Caenorhabditis elegans: one gene and its partner. The protein of the gene in region 1 interacts with the protein of each later gene in a pairwise test. Each region holds a gene or a part of one and is shown in the gene's direction. Other genes may lie near its edges.

Region 1 (3,756 bases):
GTATGATTCGATGTAACCCGTGCTCCATTGGCTCCACAAAGTCAACAAAAAGTCTATACTGAAGCCAATTTTGTACTTTTCACATATCTACAATGTCAAACATTTTAAAACGTTGTCTGTAACCATTTTTTCAGCTTCGGAGTATTATCTTGTGGTACTTTCGGACAGCTCTTACGAGATCTACATTTTTTTACGAGGTGACTTCGATTCTTCTTTTGTTTTTTTTTCCAAAAAATTTGTAGTCTTCTATTTTTGTTTCGTTTTTTTTCTAACTTCTTCTACTTCTTCTACTTCTTTGATTACACTTTTCTCACGAAATTTCAATTTCTTCTTTTTTCCGTGTGGTGGCTCCTTTCTTTCCTATTCGCTAACTGCTTCTTCATGAATAGCTAACTTTTTTCTTCTCTTCATTTTACTTCTTTTTCTTTTTTTTCCATTCCTTCTTTGGGACAGGGTTATTTGAAATTAGTGGTCGTATAACTAACCTTTTGATGAAAAACCAAGGACGTTTTGCACTTTTTTCATGTAAAAAAAGCGTAGAAGGACAAGCCTTTTGTTCACTTTTCATGTTTTCTAATCGAGATAACTTGGAACTTTTAGGGCAGTGTATTGCTTACTGATGTTCTATATCTAGTTTTTCGATTTTGGAAAATTGGAAATCATCGTTTATGGTTTTGTCCTCGACTTCCAGAAAACTGAATAATCGCCACTTTTTGACGGTTCTCAAGGTTACTATATAAAAGTTAAGCATCCAGGTGTCAATTAAAATGGAGTTCAGATTGCTAGCAAAAAACCAATGTCATGAGCTTTCAAAACGGAGCCGATAAAACGACAATTTTGTATAGGCTGCAGGTTTTTATTCATCTTGCAAAATGTGATATGCTCTAGATGTTTTTGTTACATACCTAACTAGAATAAGCTTTACTGTAGCTGTTTTAGAAATGAAGGTTCCGAAAACAAATAATGAATAGCATGAAATTATTCTGCTCGAGTCTCTAGCCGAGATCTAAAATTATCAAATTATTATGATCCGATGCCCCATTCGTTTTAAAGCTCTGAGGAACATCTTGCAACTTCAATTGCCCTTCAAAATTTCTCTCCAATCAATCTCTGTGTTTATGTGTTATTGTTGTTACTCTCTGGTCATAGAAGAATCTTTGTCTGTGAGCACATGTGTCATCTCTTCTCTCTCTCTCTCTCTTTTCCTGTTTTCTATCTTTCCCAAAGTTCAATCCTCATCTTCGTCGTGTTTTTTCTCTGAATCATCTGACTTTTTTCCCAGTTTTTTTCATGAATTCCCTGATATTTCAGAATCATTTCGCAATGCTTCTTCTCAACATCTTGTCTTCTTTATAATCCATTCGGGATTATAAAGGAACCTTATTCTTCCAGTCTTTCCCGCCTCCCTTTTTTACTTTCATTCCCCTTCGTTACATCACCAAAACCCGTTCTTCCTGTCTTCAATCTATCTGTATTACGTTATCAATGAAAAAAACATACATCTCCGTTTCTTTTTCATCTACAGACATCTTCTCTTTTCTATCATTGACATACATTAATACTTTACTTTAATTTCAGAATTAAAACTATCAAAGCAATACAAATTATGCAAAAATGGTTGATACAATTTCTGTTCTGAACCCAATTCATCTCGATTTGTCAGTCGATCCCCAGGATAATGTGAGGTAAGATGTTTATATTAATTAATTTACTGACAATTTGTAAATGATTCTTATTATACACTTTTATGTAATTTCTTTTAATGAAATATAATTCATTATATAGTATTTTATGACCACAGTAGTCCACATGTAACTGTGCTTCTTCTTCTCCGGTTTCATAGGTTCCTTAAAGAGTAATTTTCGTGAATCTGCGGAACGAAGTGCCGAACTTTTCATTGTTAATGCCTTGCCTTTCTTTGTGGAACACTACCATTTTCACTTTTACCCATGTTTGATATCTCTAGACTCTGGCAACTGAATTGCCTACAAAAACAATACAAATCTAACTCAACAATGCTGTCATCCCTAAACATTATTCGAGTAACTCTTTCAAACTTAAATTTTCAGAATCTCCGCCAGAAGCACAACATCATCATCTGCCTCGACATCATCCGACTCTGAGCTAATGAGTCCTAGGGCTGAGGAGCTTTTGAGAATGCAGGCTGAGCTCAGAGCAACACGAACGGCGCTTGCTGAAAAAGATAAAAAGATGACACAAATTCAAGTGACAGTGGATGCAGAAGTTCAAGAACTTACTGAAAAATTATTTCAGGTAAGACCAGTACAACTCCGATCCTGAGAAATTAGCTTATAAAAATTCTCGATTTTGATTTTCAAAATTTCATAAGATAATTTAAATTTTTAGAAAGTTGACCAAGTAAAAAAGATAAGAATGATATTGAAAACCGATGAAAAAGTCTCAAAACTCCCATCACATCTTCAAGTTTACAGGAGGCGTACAAAATGGTAAACACAGCAGAAGCTCGTCGTGAGAAAGCAGAAAAACTACTAACCGAATCAAGACTTGAAGTTGAAGTTCTTCAAGCAGAAGTACGTGCATTGAAAGAATTGATATCTGCTCCAGGAATGGGTCAAAACCATTTCAAGCAGACAACATCTCCAGAACATAAATCAACTTTATCAAAACTATTCAATGGATCAAGTTCATCATCAAAAAAACAAAAAGACGCTGCAAATGTATCAGATAAAAAGAAAGCTTCATCACTTCCATCTACATCAACATATACACTAACACCATCAGAAGATAGAGAACAAAAAGAAGCAAATGCAGTTGAAGAGATCGATCCAATTCTTTTTTCTGAATTTGAATTTTGGAGAGAAGCTGGACATCCGACGACATCTCATCCATTTATTGATAGAGTTACCGTTGAAGAAGTTGAACCATGTATGCTATTCGAAAACTCTGAGTTATCAGAAGAAATAATGAAGGCAATTCGAGAGAATCGTGTTCAACTTGAACCATTAAATGAACTGAAACCATCTGTAAGGATTTGTGCATTAACAAATGCTTCAAGGTTTTGTCCGTATCGAGTAAGAACTGGTGATGAGGAACAAGAATGGCATTATGTTTCGTTAATTGCCAGGAATAGGGTGAGTTATTCCACTTTTCTTGGTCTCGGAACGATTGATAATTTTAATTGAGACTGCCAAAAAGGTGCGCGCCTTTAAAGAGTACGGTAGTTTTCACTTCTCACAGTTTTGCCATTCTATTCGTTATTTTCTTTCGAAACCCTTTACTTAGAAAACGTAATAGAAACTACCTTACTCGTTAAAGGCACACTTTTTTTCGCAACCTGAATTTCAAAACTTTCAGTCGTGCCGAGACCTGGTACCGTAATCTTGATTTCTCAATTAACTCAAGATTTACAGATTGCCGCAGTCTGTGACTTCTTCACGTGTATCCGATACTTGTCCCAAGGTTTGATCAAACCCGGGCCTCGAGATTCATATTTTCACGTTGTAAACTTGCGGAAAAACATGTCACTTGCCAAACTGGGGCTAGGATTTGTCCCGCGTTCCAACATACGCCATCATTGAATTAATAGTATTTTACCATAATTTGAAACTACAGGTCTTTCACACTTTTTATACAAATAAATAATTCAATTACAAATTTTTTGGTGGTATAAATTATTCGTTTTTACATTTTACAAAAAAACAACTATAAAACGGATCATCTCAAGAACATTGGGATAAGGCAATAGAACAACCAATCATTAAGCGGATAGAAATT
Region 2 (3,756 bases), 1.9 Mb from region 1:
TTTTATTGTTCTTCTTTTTTCTCTTCTTTCGCTTCTGTGAATGTGTGGTGAGGGCCGTAAAGATTTTTCTTTAGTTTTGCAGTTTTCAGTGTGTATAATTTTGTAGTTATGGACAAGATGAATGACTTGATGCATTACCAAAAGTTTTGCAATTAGGAAAAAAAGCTATTTCAAAATTGTGTTTTTTTTTAGAAAATTATTAATAACTCTCAATTTCAAATAGTTTTTTTTCTATTTCACGACATTCAATTTATAATTGAAGTTCAAATGTAGAGTTATTTTTTTGTAAATTAATCATGTTAGTGAAACATATTTTTTTCCAACTTACAATAAACCATGGCTCACTGTTCTTGTTGATCGAAATTTTTTTTTTCATTTTTAAAATTACGTCGATATGAAAATGTAGTGCTGAAAACATCAAGACTTATTTTGAAAATATATTTGGATTTCTAAAAATATTGTTTATTTAAAATACTTCAAGTGGGGCATCCAGAGGTGGAACTTTATTCCCTTAACATTTTATTGTCGAAACTGAAATTTTCCTGATTTATTTTTTCTAAATAATCCTTTTTCATCTTCATCCTTAAAAATATTTCTAATCTAATCGGTTCTTCTCATCGTTTTCTTCCACACAATTCAATGTGTCCCAACTCTTTACCCATCTCTTCACAAAAATGTCAATTTCTGTTCAATTTCCCATGGGAGTTCGATTTTCCGTTTCCCATCCTTTTCCAAACTCGGAGAGCTTGGGGCAACTCAAGAAAAAAAACATTTGGAATACGGATTCCTTAAGATGTGCATCAAAGTACTAGACCTCCTCTTCTTCTAGATCTACTTTCTTTTTCCCCGTATTCACTTCTTTTGTCCCAAATTTCTTTTCATTCCAAATTGGATTCAGTTCCCCTGAGAAGCTCGCCTGAGCCGGCGGGTCACATTAGAGAGTACTACTCTTCTTTTTTCCCGAAAATTTCAATTTGACAGAGTGATTTCAAATAGGGACTAGTACCGAAAAAACATTTTGGGCGGAGTTGTAAACGGTGAAAAAAGTTTAAAAGTTTGAATTTATCTTGAGTTCGGACTTCCTTTCGTTCTAAAAGTATATTGCACAAACACAGGTTTTTTTCGAACTCCAAAACTTGACTTCTAGTTGAAGTATATGTTTAGTTAGTTTTCTAATAAATATAGTTCATTCTAGGACTATTCCCATATTTCCTACCTGCCATTTTTCTTGCCTACAGCAATTTTTCAGTGTCGCTGGGAACTCTTGTATATGATATACATTTCTCCCATTTTAACTTTTTGTTGAAAGTTTCTTCTATGTCATGCCAGTAAACATGCGTGTAGGCAGATAGTTTATTTTGTGCAGTTTGCACTTTTGCGCTTGCTCTGATGTTTTTCTCTCAAATTGATTTTTATTCTATCCAATTGGCATTTTCATTTCTTATCTGTTTCCCATTATCTTCCACAAATTTCCCTCTCTTTTTTCGCCTCATTTTCCGTTTCCAATCCCATCATTTTTCGTTCATTTGCTCCCCACCAATTTTTCCTCAATCGTCTCATGACCTCAAATTGATGGATCACTTTCTCACCTATATCTCTAAATCTCCATGTCTATTCATACTATCTCATCTTCATCTCGAATATCAATCAAAAGTCATCCAAGAATTCTCGTCTCATGAAAATGTCAACACAAACAAAATGTGCTTGAGCTAATTGTTTTTTGTGGGGTGGAACTTTTTGTGCAAGAGCCTGAAATAGCTAAAGCATATAAAATCTACAGTAATCCCTTCATAATTGATCCTCTGGTACTCCATCATTATTGCATGCAGACTCAGAAATGGATTCTAAAACAATTATTCATCAATTGTCCTCTTCTTTTCTTTCTTTTATTTTTCACCATGCACATTTTTCTCTTTCTGCATCGAAAGATTTATAAAATAAAAACTTCAATAAAAATTTTCCTAATTTTCAGATGAGATAGGATTGATAATTTTTATTCGTATTTCACACACACGTAGAAAAAAGAAGAGCCATCACTAAAAACTACATGATTACTTGCCGCCGGTCTGTAGGTAAGATATATTGAGCATGAAGTTTGAATTATTGAATATTATTCAGGTCAATGGGTGTTTTTGTGTGTCGCGACAACATCAATCTCATCACGAATCATCGACGATCAATGGGACAGCGGCAAGCAAAGCAACACATGCAGGTTGGTAATAGTTTTGATATGGGGAATTTTTTTTTCGGAAACTAAAATTTATGCGAACTTCTGTGATGTTTTTTAAAATGTTTTATCATTCCTGTTTGGCATTCCCCAATTTTAAACATTTATTTCTGCAGGCTGGCGTCAAACTTTATCATCAACGACATTACGCACAGGCTATCAATAAATGGAGACAGTCTCTGAACAGGTTAAAGTAAGTCTTTCAGACGACTCCTCTTCTTTTCTATAACGTCCATTTTCAGCAATGCAGAAGACCGGTTTATCACTCTCGGATACCTTGCTCAAGCTCTTTGCGACCAGGGAGAATACGAAGGAATGCTTTCATATGCTCTATCACAAATGCAGTTGGCAACCGATCAAAACGATTCAGCAATGAAATGCGAGGCATTTTTGAATCTAGCAAAAGCCTATGAACGATTAGCAGATTTCACGAAAGCCCTCCAGTATGGCAAAGCATCGTTAGAACATCCTTCGATGGATCCCAGGACGCCTGGTTATGCACATTTAAGTAAGAATTTTCAATAGGTTCTAGACAAAACTGTGGCTATTTCAGCAATAGCACTTGCACACTTAGGAATGTCCCAGTTCCAACAGTGTCTGGAAAGTTTCGAGTCAGCAATGAATGTTGCCAATGAGACATCGGATAGGTTACTCGAATTGCAAATTTGTGTTGGTCTAGGATCTCTTTTTACTCTTTTGAGGTAACCGTACAGAAATGAAAAATAACACATTTTTATTTTCAGAGATATCACTAAAGCTCTGATATTTCTTCGAAATGCTCTCGCAATTGTTCAATCTGTTACTGTTGATGATGTTCATGCAAAGTATCGTTGTTTGATACTTTATCATTTATCAGTTGCTCTAAGGATGAAAGGAAGTCTGGTTGATGCCAAGGAAGCATGCGATGTAAGTTTTTATTTAAAGTTTAAGAACTTCAAAAAGTATTGAATGATTCCAGGAAGCTTCCCAGCTAGCTGTTGAGATGGGTAATCGAGCGATCCATGCAAGATGTATGTGCAGTTTAGCAGATATTTATAGAGAATTGGGAGAGAGTGAAGCCAAAGAGACTATCACTGTGAGTAATTTTAAATTCTCAGTTATTTCAGTAAAAAAACGTTATGCTTGAAAAGTTAATAATAACAACTAACTTTCATTAAAACTTGTATTAGAAATCAATGAGTTTTTTTTTTCTATTGTTAGATAATAAACTCTTTCTTACAGAAATCCTGGGCAAGATACGAAGATGCTTATCGTGTAATGCGCGGAGCAAATGATAAAATGGGCGAAGTAAGTGGCCAAAAAACCTTCAATTATTTATTGGTACAACCAAATACCTCATAAAACCAAAAGCTCACATCCAGGTCTCAATTTCTTTTCCCATTAAATAACTTTTACGACTTTCCCATAAATCTTGAAGCTTTGTGGTTGACACAATCTCACATAGAGATCAGACAACATGAGTATATTTCTGGGGAATTGTGAGAAAATAATTTTAATAAGTTCTGAGTGTTTTTCAGGTATTAGTGCTC

What was found.
Region 2: the proteins of rabi-1 (region 1) and rpy-1 interact in a two-hybrid assay, tested with the Caenorhabditis elegans proteins (2 studies listed by BioGRID).

The regions. Positions count from the first base shown.
Region 1 is NC_003280.10:8,582,909-8,586,664, reverse strand, and holds rabi-1 (GDP/GTP exchange factor Sec2 N-terminal domain-containing protein), read left to right. Parts: upstream 1-1,578; 5' UTR 1,579-1,614; coding exon 1,615-1,685; intron 1,686-2,069; coding exon 2,070-2,274; intron 2,275-2,453; coding exon 2,454-3,113; intron 3,114-3,392; coding exon 3,393-3,560; 3' UTR 3,561-3,631; downstream 3,632-3,756.
Region 2 is NC_003280.10:6,703,860-6,707,615, reverse strand, and holds the start of rpy-1 (43 kDa receptor-associated protein of the synapse homolog), read left to right. Parts: upstream 1-1,972; 5' UTR 1,973-2,072; intron 2,073-2,118; 5' UTR 2,119-2,122; coding exon 2,123-2,212; intron 2,213-2,343; coding exon 2,344-2,420; intron 2,421-2,469; coding exon 2,470-2,735; intron 2,736-2,780; coding exon 2,781-2,928; intron 2,929-2,970; coding exon 2,971-3,133; intron 3,134-3,185; coding exon 3,186-3,302; intron 3,303-3,448; coding exon 3,449-3,514; intron 3,515-3,744; coding exon 3,745-3,756.